2 linked regions of the Macaca fascicularis genome follow. The protein of the gene in region 1 purifies or fractionates together with the protein of each later gene. This does not show direct contact. Links are inferred from orthologs where the notes say so. Each region holds a gene or a part of one and is shown on either strand. Other genes may lie near its edges. The genes, in order: IPO4 and ASF1B.

The links.
Region 2: the proteins of IPO4 (region 1) and ASF1B purify together in Homo sapiens (affinity purification with mass spectrometry; 5 studies listed by BioGRID and IntAct, counting the BioPlex papers as one, with this or other methods). This does not show direct contact. The link is inferred for Macaca fascicularis from reciprocal best matches to the Homo sapiens genes IPO4 and ASF1B.

What each region holds. Positions count from the first base shown.
Region 1 is NC_088381.1:92,000,797-92,011,185, reverse strand, and holds the start of IPO4 (importin-4), read left to right. Parts: upstream 1-5,271; 5' UTR 5,272-5,300; coding exon 5,301-5,369; intron 5,370-5,450; coding exon 5,451-5,537; intron 5,538-5,665; coding exon 5,666-5,745; intron 5,746-5,831; coding exon 5,832-5,873; intron 5,874-6,290; coding exon 6,291-6,420; intron 6,421-6,507; coding exon 6,508-6,687; intron 6,688-6,935; coding exon 6,936-7,001; intron 7,002-7,102; coding exon 7,103-7,204; intron 7,205-7,290; coding exon 7,291-7,374; intron 7,375-7,629; coding exon 7,630-7,794; intron 7,795-7,898; coding exon 7,899-7,952; intron 7,953-8,109; coding exon 8,110-8,219; intron 8,220-8,513; coding exon 8,514-8,622; intron 8,623-8,767; coding exon 8,768-8,897; intron 8,898-9,099; coding exon 9,100-9,213; intron 9,214-9,314; coding exon 9,315-9,428; intron 9,429-9,662; coding exon 9,663-9,783; intron 9,784-9,971; coding exon 9,972-10,083; intron 10,084-10,178; coding exon 10,179-10,294; intron 10,295-10,389. Other genes in the region: TM9SF1 (transmembrane 9 superfamily member 1), read left to right, coding at 542-1,163, 1,450-1,635, 3,434-3,707, 4,280-4,673. UniProt on the Homo sapiens protein: Nuclear transport receptor that mediates nuclear import of proteins, such as histones, RPS3A, TNP2 and VDR. Serves as receptor for nuclear localization signals (NLS) in cargo substrates.
Region 2 is NC_088393.1:14,551,184-14,561,527, reverse strand, and holds the start of ASF1B (histone chaperone ASF1B), read left to right. Parts: upstream 1-5,168; 5' UTR 5,169-5,353; coding exon 5,354-5,462; intron 5,463-10,344. UniProt on the Homo sapiens protein: Histone chaperone that facilitates histone deposition and histone exchange and removal during nucleosome assembly and disassembly. Cooperates with chromatin assembly factor 1 (CAF-1) to promote replication-dependent chromatin assembly.

The sequences.
Region 1 (10,389 bases):
CAGCCTCCCGAGTAGCTGGGACTACAGGTGCCCGCCACCATGCCCGGCTAATTTTTTGTATTTTTAGTAGAAACGGGGTTTCACCGTGTCAGCCAGTATGGTCTCCATCTCCTGACCTTGTGTGCCTCGGCCTCCCAAAGTGCTGGGATTACAGGCATGAGCCACCGCACCTGGCCAATCCCAGCACTTTGGGAGGCTGAGGTGGGCGGATCATGAGGTCAGGAGTTTGAGACCAGCCTGGCCAACATGGTGAAACTTGTCTCTATTCAAAATACAAAAATGAGCTGGGTGTGGTGGTGGGTACCTGTAATCCCAGCTACTCGGGAGGCTGGGGCAGAATTGCTTGAACCCAGGAGGCAGAGACTGCAGTAAACCGAGATTGCACCACTGCACTCCAGCCTGGGTGACAGAGCAAGACTCCATCTCGAAAAAAAAGAACTGTCCACCCCAAAATATCAGTAGTGCTGAAGGTGAGAAACTTTGCTCTAACTCTCTGCCTGGGGAGGTCTTGTGTGACCAACTCCTGACTTGCTCTTTATAGGTGGAGCAGCTGCGCCAGGCCATCGAAGAACTGTACTACTTTGAATTTGTGGTAGATGACTTGCCAATCCGGGGCTTTGTGGGCTACATGGAGGAGAGCGGCTTCTTGCCACACAGCCACAAGATAGGACTCTGGACCCATTTGGACTTCCACCTAGAATTTCATGGAGACCGAATTATATTTGCCAATGTTTCAGTGCGGGACGTCAAGCCCCACAGCTTGGATGGGTTACGACCTGATGAGTTCCTAGGCCTTACCCACACTTATAGCGTGCGCTGGTCTGAGACTTCAGTAGAGCGTCGGAGTGACAGGCGCCGTGGTGATGATGGTGGTTTCTTTCCTCGAACACTGGAAATCCATTGGTTGTCCATCATCAACTCCATGGTGCTTGTGTTTTTACTGGTGGGTTTTGTGGCTGTCATTCTAATGCGTGTGCTTCGGAATGACCTGGCTCGGTACAACTTAGATGAGGAGACCACCTCTGCAGGTTCTGGTGATGACTTTGACCAAGGTGACAATGGCTGGAAAATTATCCATACAGATGTCTTCCGCTTCCCCCCATACCGTGGTCTGCTCTGTGCTGTGCTTGGCGTGGGCGCCCAGTTCCTGGCCCTTGGCACTGGTGAGGTGATAAAAATGAATTGGGGATTTATCTCATGGGGTAGAACTAGGTATGGAGTTTGTTCAGAAAAGGTCTGTGGATCTTCTATCCAGAGGGGCAGACCTAAGGGATAAGGTGGCCCTAGCAAGGATGCGCGTATTCTATTGTAGATTTTCTGGATAGCAAAACTGGGGGAGATTGTTTTGCTGGAGGCCCTGGGTCTGGGAGAAGGGGGGCTGATTCCTCTGAAATTGCTAGAAGAGACACAGGTAAGGCCTAACATGGGCTTTCCACTACCATCCTGCAGGCATTATTGTCATGGCACTGCTGGGCATGTTCAATGTGCACCGTCATGGGGCCATTAACTCGGCAGCCATCTTGTTGTATGCCCTGACCTGCTGCATCTCTGGCTACGTGTCCAGCCACTTCTACCGGCAGATTGGAGGCGAGCGTTGGGTGTGGAACATCATTCTCACCACCAGTCTCTTCTCTGGTGAGGACATTCCTTTCCCTGGTGGGCCTTTCTGGACTTAGGAATTAAGAATACATTGTGGCTGGGCACAGTAGCTCACACCTGTAATCCTAGCACTTTGGGAGACCGAGGCCAGAGGACCACTTGAGTCCAAAAGTTTGAGACAAGCCTAGGCAACATAGTGAGACCCTGTCTCTATAACAAAAAATTAGCTGGGCATGGTGGTTTACATCTGTAATTCCAGCTACTTGGGAGGCTGAGGCAGGAGGATTGCTTGAGTCTAGGGAGCCTGGGAGGTTGAGGCTACAGGGAGCCATGATTGCACCACTGCACTCTAGCTGGGGTGACAGAGTGAGACTGTCTCAAAAAAAAAAAGAACACATCATAGAACTTGGGATAGAGTCAGGATGAGGCTTGAAGGGAAGGAATATTGTAAAAGAAACAAGAAAACCAAAAAAGACAAGAATGCACTTCTTTTGAATAGTTTAACATTATAAAGCCCTCGCTGGGCGCGGCGGCTCACGCCTGTAATCCCAGCACTTTGGGAGGCCGACGGTGGGCAGATCACGAGGTCAGGAGATCGAGACCATCCTGGTTAACAAGGTGAAACCCTGTCTCTACTAAAAATACAAAAATAAACATTAGCCGGGCGTGGTGGCAGGCACCTGTAGTCCCAGCTACTCGGGAGGCTGAGGCAGGAGAACGGCGTGAACCCGGGAGGCAGAGCTTGCAGTGAGCCGAGATGGCGCCACTGCACTCCAGCGTGGGCGACAAAGCGAGACTCTGTCTCAAAAAAATAAAAATAAATAATATGTCCTAGGCAGTGTGGTAAGCACTCAGCAATAACTGTGTGAAGTAGGTAATATTTCCATTCCACAGATGAGGAAACTGAACTAAAGGCTGCTTAAGTAACTTGTCTGAGATTACACTCCTAAAAAGTAGTGAACCAGGTTTCAGCAGTCTGACTTGTATTCTCACCCATTACACTAAAGTAACACCCTTTAATTTTTATTTTGAAGGTGGGCCCACTCTAAGCTTTCAAACCAGATTGCCCTTTCAAAGGCAGTAGTAGTCCCTGTTCTGAACCCTTTTTGTTCCCAATCCTATGTGTCTGATTTATATCCCATCACATTTATATTTGAACCAAGGCTTTCTGAAAACAGGGCCTTAATCCAAAGAAATGTCTCATGCTAGGAATTACCAACTCCAAGGCAAGACAGGCCCCTGGAGGCAGGTGGATTTGTGTTACTCTCAGATTATGTAGTAGCTAACTGGATCCTTAATGACACCGGGATGGGGGGTGGTGGTGGTAAGATTAAGAGCAAAGAGGCCAGGCACGGTGGCTCAGGCCTGTGATCCCAGCACTTTGGGAGGCTGAGGTGGGTGGATCAAGAGGTCAGGAGATGGAGACCATCCTGGCTAACACGGTGAAACCCCGTCTCTATTAAAAATACAAAAAAATTAGCCGGGTGTGGTGGCACATGCCTGTAATCCCAGCTACTCGGGAGGCTAAGGCAGGAGAATGGCGTGAACCCGGGAGGCAGAGCTTGCAGTGAGCGGAGATCGTGCCACTGCACTCCAGCCTGGGCAACAGAGTGAGACTCTGTCTCAAAAAAAAAAAAAAAAAAAAAAGAGTAACGGGATCTGAAAGGGTGGAAGTGAAGGCAGTTGACTCTGTAGGGACATCCAGGAGCATGAGTCTGCTGTTAAGAGTGGCAGGCTGCTTCACCCCCCTCCCCTTTTGGTCCTGGATATAAGTGGGTACCCTTAGAGATGTAGCTCCTAGTGTTGACCCTCCCTCCGGGGGCCATCCCTGCAGTGCCTTTCTTCCTGACGTGGAGTGTGGTGAACTCAGTGCACTGGGCCAATGGTTCGACACAGGCTCTGCCAGCCACAACCATCCTGCTGCTTCTGACGGTTTGGCTGCTGGTGGGCTTTCCCCTCACTGTCATTGGAGGCATCTTCGGGAAGAACAACGCCAGCCCCTTTGATGCACCCTGTCGCACCAAGAACATCGCCCGGGAGATTCCACCCCAGCCCTGGTACAAGTCTACTGTCATCCACATGACTGTTGGAGGCTTCCTGCCTTTCAGGTATCCTCCCTTTATTCCATGGCTATCACTCTCAGGTTCCTGACCTCAACTTTTCCTGTCCCTACTCATCCAGTACCCTAACCCAACCCGCTGATCCCTGGTTCAGTGGTACCATTCAGAGATCATTAAATGGTTCCTCCTATCTCCAAGCAGGACTGAGCTTGAATCAGTTCAGATATAAGAATGTCTCACTTATAAGGGCCTCCAGAGACATCTCCCCCTTCACCTTCCTGGTTTCTGACTTTAGTGTCTGTGGACATCATGTGGGGTTTAAAGCCCATTTGATGATCCATTTACTTTGTTGAATACCTCTTTGTGCCAGGCAAAGAATGAAGTGGAAAGTAAAATGGATAAGATCCCTGCCCTCAATCTATTAGGGAAGATATTCTTGAAGTGAGAGCAGCTAATCATAGGCAAAAAATCCCCATGAAGCCAGGAGATCTGGGGCAGAGAGTGGAGTGAACTCACTTTTCACAATGACCCAGCAACATGGGAGAGGGTGGGGGGCTGGATTTCAGCCCAGCCACTGTGCACAGCCCTTTAATGCTGTGTATCATCTCTTTTCTTCACAGTGCCATCTCTGTAGAGCTGTACTACATCTTTGCCACAGTATGGGGTCGGGAGCAGTACACTTTGTACGGCATCCTCTTCTTTGTCTTCGCCATCCTGCTGAGTGTGGGGGCTTGCATCTCCATTGCACTCACCTACTTCCAGTTGTCTGGGGAGGATTACCGCTGGTGGTGGCGATCTGTGCTGAGTGTTGGCTCCACTGGCCTCTTCATCTTTCTCTACTCAGTTTTCTATTATGCCCGGCGCTCCAACATGTCTGGGGCAGTACAGACAGTAGAGTTCTTTGGCTACTCCTTACTCACTGGTTATGTCTTCTTCCTCATGCTGGGCACCATCTCCTTTTTTTCTTCCCTAAAGTTCATCCGGTATATCTATGTTAACCTCAAGATGGACTGAGTTCTGTGTGGCAGAAGTATTGCTGTTCTCTCCCTTTCTTCATGCCTCCTTGAGCTCTCCTACCAGCTTCTCTTCTGATTGACTGAATTGTGTGATGGCATTGTTGCCTTCCCCTTTGCCCTTTGGGCCTTCCTTCCCCAGAGAGGGCCTGGAAATTATAAATCTCTATTACATAAGGAGTATATATTTGAAATTTTTAAGTTGCCTTTAGTTTTGGTCCTGATTTTTCTTTTTACAATTATCAAAATAAAATTTGTTAAGAAAAAGGATCATGTAGTTGGAGGTTTTGGTCTGGATATAGGAACTCCAGCCCCGCGGTTAAGGGCACGGTCCTTTAGAAAGCCGAGCTGGCCACTGAATGCCCGAAGCTTGAGTTCTCCAACCCAACTTGGGAACTCCCGGCGTGGGGAACCTACATTGCCAGAGCTGGGTTTCCGCGACTCAGCCGGTGCTCAGCATAACGGAAGTGGAGGAGTCGGACCTCTTTGTGGGAAGTGAATTGAATCACCTTGGCAACCCTCGGGGCGTGTGGCAACGCCCTTTCCGCCGGAAGTGGGTGTCAGCGCCTCCACGTGCTGTCCCTCCCCCTCCCCTTTTCGGCCCAGTAGCGGCGGCTCAGCTGCTGCCATGGAGCCCGCCGGCCTGGAGCAGCTCCTACGGGAGCTGCTGCTGCCGGACACCGAGCGCATCCGTCGGGTACGGGAGTAGGCATAACCGGGCCAGGGCGAGCGGGAGGTTGCGGGAAAGACCCGACTCTCACCCCTAGCTTCCCCCCAGGCCACGGAACAGCTCCAGATCGCTCTTCGGGCCCCCGCCGCTTTGCCGGCTCTCTGCGACCTGCTGGCCTCGGCGGCCGACCCCCAGGTGAGACCCCTGACTCTCCCCTCCGAGCTTCCCACTGTACGCCACTGGTCAAGCCCCAATATCCGCCCCCTGCGGTCCGCTCAGCACCCTCCTGCCCGGACCCCCACGTGCTTGTTTCCTCGTCCTAGATCCGCCAGTTTGCGGCGGTGCTGACCCGCAGACGACTGAACACCCGCTGGCGACGGCTGGCGGCGGAGCAACGGGAGAGGTGGGTTGGGCCTGGGTTGGGGCGGGGCCAGGCGGAGACTTTTCTTGGGCAGTCTGTGTACCAAACACCTGCCCACTGTGTTCCAGCCTCAAGTCCCTGATCCTGACGGCCCTGCAGAGAGAAACAGAGTAAGTACCTACCCCCTTTTCTCGGGATCCTGACGACCTTGTCGGGGTTTCTGCCTTCCCTTTCAGTTCCAGGCTGGGACTTGTGGGGCAGGGACTTCAGTTCTAGACCCAAGGTGGAGCGAAAATTTTAAGGCTGTTTTGAAGACTGAAGTTCTTGAGGAAGGGTGACTATGATCTGCCAAACTCAAGTCAGAAGAATAAGACTGAAATTCAGGCTAGTAAGACTGAACTTACCAGATTACATGCCCGCAGTGCTGCTGGGCTCCCTCTGAGCTGCTGTCTCATGTGTCCCAACTTGGTAAAGACCCTGTGCCCACACCTCCTGAAAGTTTCTCTCCTGGCTGCCCCATTGTGCCTGGCCACTGTGTGCAGAGGAAGGTATTGGAGAGTGATAGAGGAGATCTCTCCTGTTTGCAGGCACTGTGTGAGCCTCAGCCTGGCCCAGCTTTCAGCCACCATTTTTCGAAAGGAAGGCCTGGAGGCCTGGCCACAGCTTTTGCAGCTTCTTCAGCACAGTACCCACAGCCCCCACAGCCCAGAGAGAGAGGTACCATCACATGGTTGGCAGGAGGGAGGGACTAAGAGGTGGGATAGACCATGTAAGCTTGCTCTCCAATCCTCTATTCTTGGACAGATGGGGCTTTTGCTGCTAAGTGTGGTGGTGACCTCCCGGCCCGAGGCCTTCCAACCCCACCACCGGGAGCTGCTTCGGCTTCTGAATGAGACTCTTGGTGAGGTGGGCTCTCCTGGGCTGCTCTTCTACTCCCTGCGCACTCTGACCACCATGGCCCCCTACCTCAGCACTGAAGACGTGGTGAGATGTGGGCCCTCGTATCTTTGACTCCCTTTCCTCAGGCCTTCATGTCCTCATCTGTAAAAGTTACAAAACTGCTTTGGATTCTTTACCTGCCTGTGGCCCTTCCTGACAATTGAGAGGGGATGCTGTAGGTGGGCCTGGCTATTATGTCTGGGCTCCTCCTCGCAATTCAGGCTATGAGGAAGCTGTCAGCTGCTGGGGTGTGAGATTAGGCTGCATCATGCTGTCTGTGATGTGTCCCTCAGCCTCTCTCTCGGATGTTGGTGCCCAAGCTGATCGTGGCTGTGCAGACTCTGATCCCCATAGATGAGGTGAGGACAGGTGGGCAGGAGCTCTGTTGGAAGAAGAGTGCAAAAGTGACCAGCTTGGCCCACTGAAGAAGAGCATGGTAACCTTGTGCCTTGTTTGTCAGGCAAAGGCCTGTGAGGCCCTTGAGGTTTTGGATGAACTGTTGGAGTCAGAGGTGCCCATCATCACCCCCTACCTCTCTGAGGTCCTCACATTCTGCCTGGAGGTGAGCCTGGAGTGGACATGGCCCCTGCTACATGCTCTGTTGGGACTTTCCTTCCCTGTCTCTGATTCTTATTATTCTCTGGACAGGTGGCTAGAAATGTGGCCCTGGGCAATGCAATACGCGTACGTGTTCTCTGCTGCCTCACTTTCTTGGTCAAAGTCAAGAGCAAGGTGAGTGAGTGCCCATTGACACACATCACCCCACCCACTCTCTACCCTTAGTCTCACTCCTGGGACTTTCAGTTCATCTCAGGGTATCTAAAGTACTGTGGGGGTTCAAGCCTTGGCCTAGCCTCACCCCAGCTCCTGCCTGGGAGATTGGGAATTTTCTGTCGGACCTTTTATGGCCTGGAAGACTGGAATTTTTAATGTGAGCCCATCCTGGGAGCAGATTCTTAGGGACACTGTTCCACCTTCTCTGTCAAGGCCTTACTGAAGAATCGTCTCCTGCCACCCTTGCTACACACCCTTTTCCCCATTATGGCTGCTGAGCCCCTGCCAGGCCAGTTGGATCCTGAGGACCAGGATTCAGAAGAGGAAGAGTTGGAAATTGAGCTGATGGGGGAGACTCCCAAGCATTTTGCTGTACAGGTGAGATGTGGGGCAGGACAGAGGGGGAAGGTGTTAGGTGGCTGTGGGAGGTTGGGGAGGCAGAGATGGAGTCGAGCAAAGTAAGTCTCCCCATCCTATCTTAGGTTGTGGACATGCTGGCGCTACACCTGCCCCCCGACAAGCTGTGTCCCCAGCTGGTAAGTGTGGCTCTGTCCTTCTGGTGTCCCTACCTCCAAGTGTGCCTAGTCCCCTGAGGCCAAGGACGTTTAGACCCTGGGAGGTGTGAAGGTCTATTTCCACAGGAATGGGCAGGCTCTTTCTGGGGTTTCAGAAGCGTGCCACATGCTTCCCTAGATGCCCATGCTGGAAGAGGCCTTGCGGAGTGAGAGCCCATACCAGCGTAAGGCTGGACTCCTGGTGCTGGCCGTGCTGTCTGACGGAGCTGGTGACCACATCAGGCAGAGGTATCTATTCCCCTATCCCAGGGTGAGGGTTGCCCACGGGGAGGACCGTGGCTGTCATGGTTTACGCTTGTTGTTCAAGCTTATTTATCAACAGCATTTTCCCCCATTCTCAAAAGTGTCCTGGCTTAGAAGATAAATGACATGGCTTCCCAGCTGTAGGGATCAGGGGCTGCTGCCCACCCTCTGGTGACAGGAAAAGCCTTGTTTTTTCCAGGGAAAATGAAGAGAACAGGTCAGCCTAGGGCTGTCAGGTATAGCTCCTCAGCCTGTGTCCTCTTGTCCTGCCCTATCCAGACTGCTGCCCCCACTGCTGCAGATCGTGTGCAAGGGCCTGGAGGACCCCTCGCAAGTTGTACGCAATGCTGCGCTATTTGCCCTGGGCCAGTTCTCAGAAAACCTACAGGTGAACCAGGCTGAATGTGGGAGCCACCACTTGAATGTCCCCTTCCCCTCACCTTTCATCTCTTCAAGCATCCCTGCTGCCGTCGCACTCTTGTACGTGCCCTGCAGGTGAACCTGACTCAAGCCCTGCTTGCTCCCTCCCCCAGCCCCATATCAGCAGCTATTCAAGGGAGGTGATGCCACTGCTCCTCGCCTATCTGAAGTCGGTGCCTCTTGGACACACACACCACCTAGCCAAGGCCTGCTATGCCCTGGAGAATTTCGTGGAGAACTTAGGTAGTGATGGCAGTGGGGAGCTTGGGGGAGGGGGATGAGGCAGCGGCTTTGGCTGAATGCGCAGGATGTACATCTCCTTGCATTGCTGCCTATGGTGGGGGAAAGTGTGTGATGGCGCCACAAAGGGGTTTCCGCCTGGAGGGAGGTGGGCATGCAGGTAGGAGATCTGGGTTGGTTGATAGAGGAGCATCCTTTCCCACAGGGCCCAAAGTGCAGCCCTACCTTCCGGAGCTTATGGAATGCATGCTGCAGCCTCTGAGGAGCCCCAGCAGTCCCCGGGCCAAGGAGCTGGCTGTGAGCGCCGTAGGAGCCATTGGTGAGGAGAGGCAGGAGGCAGGGATGTGGGGTTCACCCAAAGGCCCTGTGGCTGGTGGTCCCTGCCCTTTCCAGCTCTGATTCTGTCCTTCCATCCTGCAGCTACAGCTGCCCAGGCCTCGCTGCTGCCCTACTTCCCTGCCATCATGGAGCACCTGCGGGAATTCCTGTTAACAGGCCGTGAGGACCTTCAGCCTGTGCAGATCCAGAGCCTGGGTGAGTGAGAGGCTCCCAGGTGGGGATCCCAGTGCCAGCAAAGGGCCGATGCTCACCTGGTGTTGACAGAGATTGCCCCCACGGGAGCACGGATGTCTTCCTTCTCATCGAAGGGGGTGTTCTTCACCCTGTACCAAGGGGTAGGGGGGGATATCTGAATCCCTCCCAGCTACCACCTTTGGTCCTATAGCCCACCTCCACCTCCTGGTGCTAATGGAGCCCATGCTCCCACAGAGACACTGGGAGTGCTGGCACGAGCGGTGGGGGAGCCCATGAGGCCGCTGGCTGAGGAATGCTGCCAGCTGGGTCTGGGCCTCTGCAACCAGGTAGACGACCCTGACTTGCGGCGCTGCACGTGAGTGATCCCTCACCCTGCCTCTGCCCTTGTCCCCACCCCTCCTTTCTGCCCACTGGGCCCACTGGAATCCCCACCCCAGACTCTAGTCCTCTGGTTCGGACCATAGCCAGGTGTTCCCGGGCTCCCCCATCCTGTCTGGTGGTAGCAAGCAGGACCATACAGCTTCTTCTGCCTGCTTTGACCAGGTACAGCCTATTTGCCGCCTTATCGGGTCTGATGGGCGAGGGCCTGGCACCCCACTTGGAACAGATCACCACGCTCATGCTGCTGTCACTGCGTTCTACCGAGGGCATTGTGGTGAGCAGAGGGTGGGCTGGGCCAGGCCAGCCCTGCAATGGGATTTATCTCCTGGGCCTAGCTGAGCCAAAGTCCTTGCCATGCCTCCACTCCAGCCTCAGTATGACGGGAGCAGCTCCTTCCTTCTGTTTGACGATGAGAGTGATGGGGAAGAAGAGGAGGAGCTCATGGATGAGGATGTGGAAGAAGAGGATGACTCAGAGATCTCAGGGTGCGGAGGGGTGCTCTTCTGATCAGGAATCTAGACTTTGGTTTTAGACCAGGGGACTAGTGCTGGATCTGCTCCTCTTGGTGCCTGATCACCAC
Region 2 (10,344 bases), on another chromosome or scaffold:
GATTTATTTATTTATTTATTTATTTATTTATTTGAGATGGAATCTTCCTTTGTCACCAGGCTGGAGTGCAGTCACGCAATCTCAGCTCACTGCAACCTCTACCTCCCAGGTTCAAGCAATTCCTCTGCCTCAGCCTCTGAAGTAGCTAGGACTACAGGCACACGCCACCACGCCCGGCTAATTTTTTTGTATTTTTAGTAGAGACGGGGTTTCACCATGTTCACCAGGATGGTCTCGATCTCCTGACCTCATGATCCGCCTGCCTCGGCCTCCCAAAGTGCTGGGATTACAGGCGTGAGCCACCGTGCCTGGCCAATTTTTTTGTATTTTTAGTAGAGATGGGGTTTCACCATGTTAGCCAGGATGGTCTTGATCTCCTGACCTCGCGATCTGCCCGCCTTGGCCTCCCAAAGTGCTGGGATTACAAGCATGAGCCAGCGTGCTCAGCCAAGAAAGGGTACTTTAAATAGGGTACTTTGGGAAGTCTTCTTTCAGAGGACATTCGAGCTGAACCACAGCGAAGAGAATGAGACAGCCATGCAATTATCCGGAGGAAGCACATTCCAGGCAGAGGGAACGGCAAGTGCAAAGCCCTGCGGCAGAAATAAGCTGGGTGTGTTGAAAGAAGGGGAATAAAGCCAGCTGGGCTTGAAAGCAGTGACAAGAAGAATGGTAGATGAGGCCTGAGAGGTCAGCTGAGGCTACCACGCAGGGCAGCCTAAGCCATAGGAAAGATCTTAGGTTTCATTCTAAGTAGGATAAGCCTTTGAAGGTTTTAAGCAGAGTAATGACATGATCTGGTTTACAAGTGAAGATCATTCAGCCAGCTGTAAGGAGAATGCATCATAGACAGGGCCACTTTCTTCATTAGCGCCACGGAAATAATGCTGGTGGCTCATGAGCTTCTCAGGGGCTATGAAAAGGTCAGGGATAGGGATAAAGGGAAAAAAGTTCCACAATGCAAAGATAAAACTACAAAGTTGGAATGAATAAATATTTAAATAAGCATCTAGAAATATGACATCATGACAACTGCATTAATCATTAAATTTAGTATTCATAAGCAATCGAATTACATTTGGAAATTAGATTTTCTCAAATCACAAATATCCCCAAGTATGCAACGATTGCCAAGAAATCAAAGGAATCATAAATGTGAGCTTCCTTGAAGCCAAATAATTTCAAAAGAATATTAAAAAGCTTTCAATTTTTTTTAACAGCTAAAAAAAATTTTTCTTAATGTGAGATGTACACACCAAAAAAAATGGGCTAGGCGCTGTAATCCCAGCATTTAAAGACAAGATAGGTGAACTGCTTGAGGCCGGAAGTTTCAAGAGCAGCTTGGGCAACAGCGAGACCCTGTCTCTACAAAAAATTTAAAAAGTAAAACAGGCAGGGCATGGTGGCTCATGCCTGTAATCCCAGCACTTTGGGAGGCTGGGGCGAGTGGATCACCTGAGGTTAGGAGTTTGAGACCAGCCTGGCCAACATGGTGAAACCCCCATCTTCACTAAAAATACAAAAATTAGCCAGGCAAGGTAGCGTGTGCCTGTAGTCCCATATAGTCAGGAGGCTGAGGTGGGAGAATCGCTTGAAGCCAGAAGCAGGAGGGTGCAGTGAGCCGAGATCGCACCACCGCACTCCAGCCTGGGTGACAGAGCAAGACTCCCTCTCAAAAAAAAAAAAAAAAAAGTAAAACAAATCAGGCATGGTGGCACGCACTGGTGATCCCAGCTACTTGGGAGGCTGAGGTGGGAGGATCACTTGAGCCCAAGAGTTCCAAGTTACAGTGAGCCATGATCATGCCACTTCACTCCAGCCTGGGAAACAGAGCTCTGTTTAAAAAAAAAAAAAAAAAAATCCCACAGGAACTGGATTGTTTCCAGAGGTGACTAGGTAAGAAATACTAGTGCCTTTGATAAGTGCTATTCAGGCTTATGGCCTGTGATTTTGAACACTGTCCAGGGCACCCTTAGAAAGCCCTCTCTGGGGAGAGGACATTTGAACAGAGACTTGAATGACGAGAAGGCATAAGCCAGCCAAGAGCCCAGAAGAAGAGGTTCTGGGCAGAGCTTTGCACTGGGAGTGACTTGTCAGATTTTTAACAAAAAGAGGGTTACTTAGGCTGGTTTGAAATTGGAGCTGGGTAGTTAACAGGAGACAAAGCATAGTTTCGAAGACAATGCTCTCATCCTGAGAAGTGACCTGGTCAAATGTGTTTTTGACCTTCACTGTCCAGTAATACAGGAGCCACTTGTCACAGGGGTTCAGGAGCACTCAACTGTGGCTATCAAGACAGCTAAACTGAACTTTCTTTTCTAAAATTTAATTTTTTTTTTTTTTTTTTTTTTTTTTTTTTTTTTTTTTTTTGAGACGGAGTCTCACGCTGTTGCCCAGGCTGGAGTGCAGTGGCGCGATCTCGGCTCACTGCAAGCTCCGCCTCCCGGGTTCCCGCCATTCTCCTGCCTCAGCCTCCTGAGTAGCTGGGACTACAGGCGCCCGCCACCGCGCCCGGCTAATTTTTTGTATTTTTAGTAGAGACGGGGTTTCACTGTGGTCTCGATCTCCTGACCTTGTGATCCGCCCGCCTCGGCCTCCCAAAGTGCTGGGATTACAGGCTTGAGCCACCGCGCCCGGCCCTCTAAAATTTAATTTAATTTAATTTTTTTTTTTTTTTTTTTTTGAGACGGAGTCTTGCTCTGCCGCCCAGGCTGGAGTGCAGTGGCCGGATCTTAGCTCACTGCAAGCTCCGCCTCCCGGGTTCACGCAATTCTCCTGCCTCAGCCTCCCGAGTAGCTGGGACTACAGGCGCCCGCCACCTCGCCCGGCTAGTTTTTTGTATATTTTAGTAGAGACGGGGTTTCACCATGTTAGCCAGGATGGTCTCGATCTCCTGACCTCGTGATCCGCCCGTCTCGGCCTCCCAAAGTGCTGGGATTACAGGCTTGAGCCACCGCGCCTAGCCTAAAATTTAATTTTAATTTTGAGAGACAGGATCTCACTCTGACACTCAGGCTGGAGTGCAGTGGCTGGAGCATCCTGGGCTCAAGAGATCCTCCTGCCTCAGCTTCAGGAGTAGCAGAGACTACAGGTATGCACTACCACACCTGGCTTATTCTTTTATATTTTTGTAAATATGAGGTCTTGTTATGTTGCCCAGGCTGATCTTGAACTCCTGGCCTCAAGAAATCCTCCACGCCCAGCCTCTAAAATTTAATTTTTTTTAAAAAAAGTAAATCTTGGCCGGGCGCGGTGGCTCAAGCCTGTAATCCCAGCACTTTGGGAGGCTGAGACGGGCGGATCACGAGGTCAGGAGATCCAGACCATCCTGGCTAACACGGTGAAACCCCGTCTCTACTAAAAAATACAAAAAAAAAAAAAAACTAGGCCGGGTGTGGTGGCTCACGCCTGTAATCCCAGCACTTTGGGAGGCCGAGGTGGGCGGATCACAAGGTCAGGAGATCGAGACCATGGTGAAACCCCGTCTCTACTAAAAATAGAAAAAATTAGCCGGGCGCAGGGGCGGGCGCCTGTAGTCCCAGCTACTCGGGAGGCTGAGGCAGGAGAATGGCGTAAACCCGGGAGGCGGAACTTGCAGTGAGCTGAGATCCGGCCACTGCACTCCAGCCCGGGCGACAGAGCGAGACTCCGTCTCAAAAAAAAAAAAAAAAAAAAAGTAAATCTTAAATTAAAAAAAAAAAGATATGGCTGGGTACAGTGGCTCATGCCTGTAAACCCAGCACTCTGGAAGATCAAGGCGGGCGGATCACTTGAGATCAGGCGTTTGAGACCAGCCTGGCCAACAAGGTGAAACCCGGTCTCTACTAAAAATACAGAAAAAAATTTAGCTGGTTGTGGTGGTGGTCACCTGTAATCCCAGATACTCAGGAGGCTGAGGCAGGAGAATCGCTTGAACCCGGGAGGTGGAGGTTGCAGTGAGCCGAGATCGCGCTATTGCACTCCAGCCTGGGTGACAGAGCGAGATTCCGTCTCAAAGAAAAAAAAAGTGGTTTCCAAAAAATGTAAAATTAGGTGCGCGGCTGGCATTATTTTTCCACTGGGTAGAGCTGATCGCCCGTGGGGGCAGAGACTCTGCGACCTGGAGTCTCCCAGGCCGGGGGCGACGGGATGCGGCGGAGAGAAGTTTCCGGATGTATTGTGCGGTCATGAATCATGTCAGGGAATTGCCACTGCCCCCGTTGAATGGAGAGACGCTGCCTCAGGAGCTGAGTAGCAGAGCCCGGACTCGAACACTGGTCTGCCCCCGAACTGAAACTCCCATTTTCAGTACCGTATGCTTGAAACCTTCCAAGAGCCCTTGAGGGGGCGAGAGCGGGATCCAAACCCCTCGGGGGCGAGAGCGGGATTCGAACCCCTCGTGGGCGAAAGCGGGATCCGAACCGGGCTGGACTCCCGAGGTCCCAGGGCGCCGCGTGACCGCCACTCCGAACGTTCGCAACGTTCACAACGGACTCCAGGGCCGCTGGACCTTAAGGGTCAGGAGCCACTCAGAAAAGCTCCAGACTACGCTCACCTGTTGACAGACGCTGAGGGCGCAACCCTCCTCCTCTTTTTTCACACTCGCCAGCACCGCGGCGGCGCTCGACTTCCGCTTCTCTCCAGCGAATCCCCAGCTGAGCCTCCTTCTGCTCCCGGCACCATTACCAATCCAGCCAATCAACTCTCAGAAAACCCTCTTTATCTCCGCCCCACTCCCTCCTGCCAATCACTGAGGGTGCGAGCACCGCCCTTCCCGCCTTCTTTAGCGAGCGCCGCGCGCCACCGCTCGGCGGTTGGCGGCGCTGCGCGGTGCGGGATGCAGCTCCCGGAAAAGCGAGGCGAGGGGCGGGCTACGCCGGTGCGGGAACCCTCAGGATTGGGCAGAAGGAGTCCGGCGCTCTGACTCCGTCCACTCCCGCCGTTGACATCCGAGTCGGAGACGCTGGGGATTGGTTCCCAGCGGACACGCTAAGAAGCCTGGAGATGGTTTCGCCCTCCTCACACGCCGCGGAGAGGGAGCTCCGCTGATTGGTCCGGGGAGTCTGGGCGCGCGCCGACTGGCGCTCCAGGATTGGCTGAGGGGGTGCGCGCGCCGCCAGGGGAGCGTTGGCGGTGATTGGCCAGAGGGCGGAGGCCGGCTATTTGAAGGCGGTCCGCGGTTTAGGTGCGCACTTCAGTCCGCGGAGAGAAGAGGCGGGAGTGGACTTGGTCTGCCGTACCCCACTGACGCCCCCCCACTCACCGGACCCAGGCGCGGCCTCCGCCACAGCCACAGCCACAGCCCCTGCCCCTGCCCCTGCCCCTGCTGCGGCGCGGCGCGGCGCGGCGAGGCGAGGCGAGGCGAGGCGAGGCGATGGCCAAGGTGTCGGTGCTGAACGTGGCGGTCCTGGAGAACCCGAGCCCTTTCCACAGCCCCTTCCGGTTCGAGATCAGCTTCGAGTGCAGTGAAGCCCTGGCGGACGGTGAGGCTGGGCCCGTGCGGGGACCCCCACCCCCGGGCCGACCCCGGCCTCCCCTTGGAGAAGCGCTCCCATGGCCAACTTGATCTCCCCCATGAAACCCCTCGTCCCCTTTCCGCCAATCCGGATCTCCGGGTGGAGACTCCCCGCCATCAGCCAACTCGGACCTCCCCGTGACCTCCTCTCCCACTGCCCGCCTTGACCTCCCGGGTGGAGACCCCCAGCTAGCTAACTCGGACCTCCCCGTTACCTCTTCCCCCACTGCCCGCCCCGACCTCCCCATAAAGATTAACCCCAGTCAAGCCCCACTTCCCGCGTGGGAAACCTCATCCATCTTTTTAATCTGGAGGTCTTCCTAGGTACCCGTTTTCATGGAGAGATCTTCTTGGCCTCCATTTCTTAAGCCACGGAGATCTTCAGCCACCGTGATTTCCCTGTGGCAAGACCCGCGCTTTAGCCACCCACCCATTTTTGCCCACTTATTCCCTCTTTAGTGAGATACTCACACCTCCCATTTTCCCTCTGGAGACTCCGAATGTCCAGCCCCTTCCCATTTTCCCCGGGGGAAATCCCAGCCATCTGCCATTTTCCCTATGGAGATCTCTCACGCAAGCTCCTTTCCCTCCTCACCGTGAAGACGCTCCCCACCAGTAACCGTTTTTCGCTGTGAAAACCCCTCAACCCCTTTTCAGGACCGCCCTCGCCCCCATCTTCCCATTTGTCTCCCACCAATCCCCTCCCCAACCTGCCAATATTTCAACAACCCCACCCGCACCAGTTGCTGTTGCTTTTCTGCCATTGCACATACCCTGGAACCTGGTTCCTCCTTCGTTGGGGCCCAACCCCTGCTATGCTTGAGCTCCCCCTGGGAAAGGATGCTACCGTCTTTGAGGGGAACTTGGTCTCTCCAGCTCCCCTTCCCCACCCTCTTCTGTGGACTTGGATAAACACACTGCGATCTGAGGGCTGGCATAGCCAGGCAGGTATTAGCTGCTTCTCCAGGTTTGCCCACCCGTTTCCAACTGAGTTACTACAGCAGTTCTTCCCTCGCTTTTTCTTTCTTCTTTTTTTCCTTTTTCTTTTTTTTTTTTTTTTTTTGAGACAGACTCTTGCTCTGTTGCCCAGGCTGAAATGCAGTGGCACGATCTCGGCTCACTGCAACCTCCGCCTCCCGGGTTCCAGCAATTCTCCTGCCTCAGCCTCCCGAGTAGCTGGGACTACCGGCACCTGTCACCATGCCCGGTTAATTTTAGTATTTTTAGTTGGAGGCAGGGTTTCACCACATTAGCCAGGCTGGTCTCGAAGTCCTGATCTCAAGTGATCCACCCGCCTTGGTTTCCCAAAGTGCTGGGATTACAGGCGTGAGCCACCGCGCCCGGTCTTTTTTTTTTTTCTTTTTTTTTTTAATATAGCTGGATAATCAGTGCCAAGCTTCCATTGCTTTTGATGGTCTGACCTAGTCTGGAGGGTGAGTGGGTTGGGCTGAGCTGTGACAGGCTCCAGCTTCAAACAGTCAGCTGGAGCCCGGAGGTCACAGCCTCCTGTACATCTTTTCCAAGGTGCTTCTGCAGATGTACTTGTTAATCTGTGTGACTTAAAGGTGGACATGGCTCTCATCTCACAGATGAGAAGACAGGAGCCACAAAGCGCAAAAGACCTTTCAAGTCAAGGCCTGTACAAATCCCAAAATCTAAGGTCACCCAGGGAGCCTTGGCACCACTAAAATGCAAGTCCTGCTTTCAGAAAGAAGTACTCCATTAGGCCATTTTTCTACTTGGTGGTTAAAAGAGAAAAGGCAGTAGCCGAGGAGGTAGCGATCTGGGGGCCTGTGAAGCCAGGATGTGCTAACTAGTGCCTTTCGGGGGCAGGTGGATGTTTGGCCCTCAAAGCTGGTCACCTGGACTAGCTTGGGGCTGATAGAGTGAGATGTGGATGTGCTTCGGGTAGGCCAGTGGGTCTCTCTCTCCCTGGTCTGTCTTGCTCCTTTTTAAATTAAGCAGTCTACTTGTGGCTAACTATAGAATAAGCCGCGTTAAATCCTTTCTGGAACAGGGCAGCGTGTAAATAAATAAATAAAGTGTAGAATGACACTGTGGAATAAGATTTAATTTAAAAGCCAGGAGGAAATGGAAGGAAGTAATAGGTTGAGGGATTCCCAGCTCCCAGGCGGCAGGAGATCAGGTTTCAATCAGCCTGTTTGTGTTCCTTGCATTTAAAAATGGTTGTGTGGTCATTATCTGGTACTTCTCCTAGGAAACCCCTGCCCTGTGACTTTACTTATTTATAGAATTAGAGGCAGAAAGGCTAAATTCAACCTGCTGCTCCTTTTTTTGTTTTTTTGGAGACGAAGTCTCACTCTCGTCCCCCAGGCTGGAGTGCAGTGGCGCAACCTCCGCCTCCCGGGTTCAAGCAATTCTCCTGCCTCAGCCTCCCGAGTAGCTGGGATTACAGGTGCCTGCTATGACGCCCAGCTAATTTTTGTGTTTTTGGTAGAGATGCGGTTTCACCATGTTAGCCAGGCTGGTCTCGAACTCCTGACCTCAGGTGATCTGCCCGCCTCAGCCCCCCAAAATGCTGGGATTACAGGTATGAGCCACCGTGCCCAGCCTCTGCTGGTCATCTTTTAATAGAAATGGAGTGATTTATCCAGGGTCACCCAGCCAGTTTGTAGAAATATTGGCACTGAAGTTTTGAATCTAAGTTCTTTATCTTTGCTCCGATCCAGGGAAAGAAAGGAAGAAGGATTCCCTATTTCAGAGGTGGAGCATAGATAGGAATGACCACACAATTTATTGCCTAATCAGGATACTCAAAACACAGTGAAGGGGAATGCTATTATTATTATTATTATTTTATTTTATTTATTTTTTGAAATGGAGTTTCACTCTGTCACCCAGGCTAGAGTACAGTGGCGCGATCTCAGCTCACTGCAATCTCCACCTCTTGAGTTCAAGCGATTCTGTGGTCTCAGTCTCCCAAGTAGCTGGGATTACAAGCTTGAGCCACCATGCCCGGCTAATTTTTGTATTTTTAGTAGAGATGAGGTTTCACCATGTTGGCCAGGTTGATCTCAAACCTGACCGAAAGTGATCTGCCCGCCTCAGCCTCCCAAAGTGCTGGGATTACACTTTGAATCACAAGCACGCGGCCAGGGAATGCTATTGTTAATTGCACCCGGATGATAAAGCTTTTCCTTCAAGAAACTCAAGTGAGAAATCCTGGCTCTTCCAGTCCTAGGGCTCTCTGTGACTGATCTGCCAGCTTGCTTTCTGCCTCTTTCTGGCCTCCTCTCCATGAAAAAGAGAATCTGGCTCACTCTCAGCAGTGTCAACTGAAAATCTTGACAAAACCCCCAATCCAGCTGTGCGAGGTGGCTCATTCCTGTAATCCCAGCACTTTGGGAGGCTAAGGAAGAAGGCTCTCTTGAGCCCAGGAGTTTTAGGCCAGCCTGGGTAACATAGCAAAACCTTGTCTCTACAGAAACATCAAAAAATTAATGGGACTTGGTTGCATGTGCCTGTGGTCCCAGCTACTCAGGAGGCTGAAATGGGAGGATTGTATGAGCCCAGGAGGTCAAGGCTGCAGTAAGCCGTAAGCCATGGTTGCACCACTGTACTCCAGCCTGGGTGAGAGAGTAAGACCCCATCTCAAAAAAAAAAAAAAAAAAACCCAAAAACAAAAAAAAAACCACCCTAACTCCTAAGCCCCAGTTGAGTGACTCCTATTTCTCAAGGGCCTCAAGCCCCCTTTGTACTTTTATCTTCCACATCTGGAAATAGATGCTTCCATGTTTAGCTGAGAAATTCAACAGACACTGGTTGAGTAAGTCATAGAAGCCAGATGTTCTGACCCAGAACTAACAAAGCTGTTATGGCAGCAGGACTGATCTTTGATTATGAACAAAGGCAAAAAAAAAAAAAAAAAAACAGGCTGGGCACGGTGGCTCACGCCTATAATCCCAGCATTCTGGGAGACCAAGGCAGGTGGATCACCTGAGGTCAGAAGTTCAAGACCAGCCCAGCCAACATGGTGAAACCCCATCTCTACTAAAAATATAAAAGTTAGCCAGGCTTGGTGGCGGGTGCCTATAATCTCAGCTACTCGGGAGGCTGAGGCAGAAGAATTGCTTGAACCTGGGAGGCAGAGGTTGCAGTGAGCTGAGGTTGTGCCACTGCACTCCAGCCTGGGTGACAGAGCAAGACTCTGTCTCAAAAAACAACAACAGGCCAGGCACAGTGGCTCACGCCTGTGATCCCAGCATTTTGGGAGATCAAGGCAGGCGGATCATCTGAGGTCAGGAGTTTGAGCCCAGCCTGGCCAATGTGGTGAAAACCTGCCTCTACTAAAAATACAAAAGTTACCTGGGAAGGGTGGTAGGCGCCTGTAATCCCAGCTACTTAGGAGGCTGAGGCAGGAGAACCGCTTGAACCCGGGAGGTGGAAATTGCAGTGAGCCCAGATTGCGCCATTGCACTCCAGCCTGGGTGACAGAGTAAGACTGTCTCAAACAACAACAAAAACAAAAAAGCAGGAAGCAGACTCTTTAGCTAGTTCAGCTACAGTAATCATGTACGTGTCTTTAGTCTTATCATTTATATATATATGTACACACACACATACATACACACACACAGTGGAGGTATGTCTTGTACAGGGACTAGCTTGTGAAGTTAGCGCAGAGAGATAACATGGAACACAGTTGAGTTGCCTTGACATTGCTCAGAAGGTTAGATACACACCTCATGTGTACAGCTGTGTCCTGTACACAGTAGCTATGAGTTCGTGCTGTGTTGGTGATTTGTGTCCCATGTATAATTCTAAAGAAAGATTATATTCAGAAATGCAATCATACACATATGTCGCTACTTACAACACTGCAGCCCGAT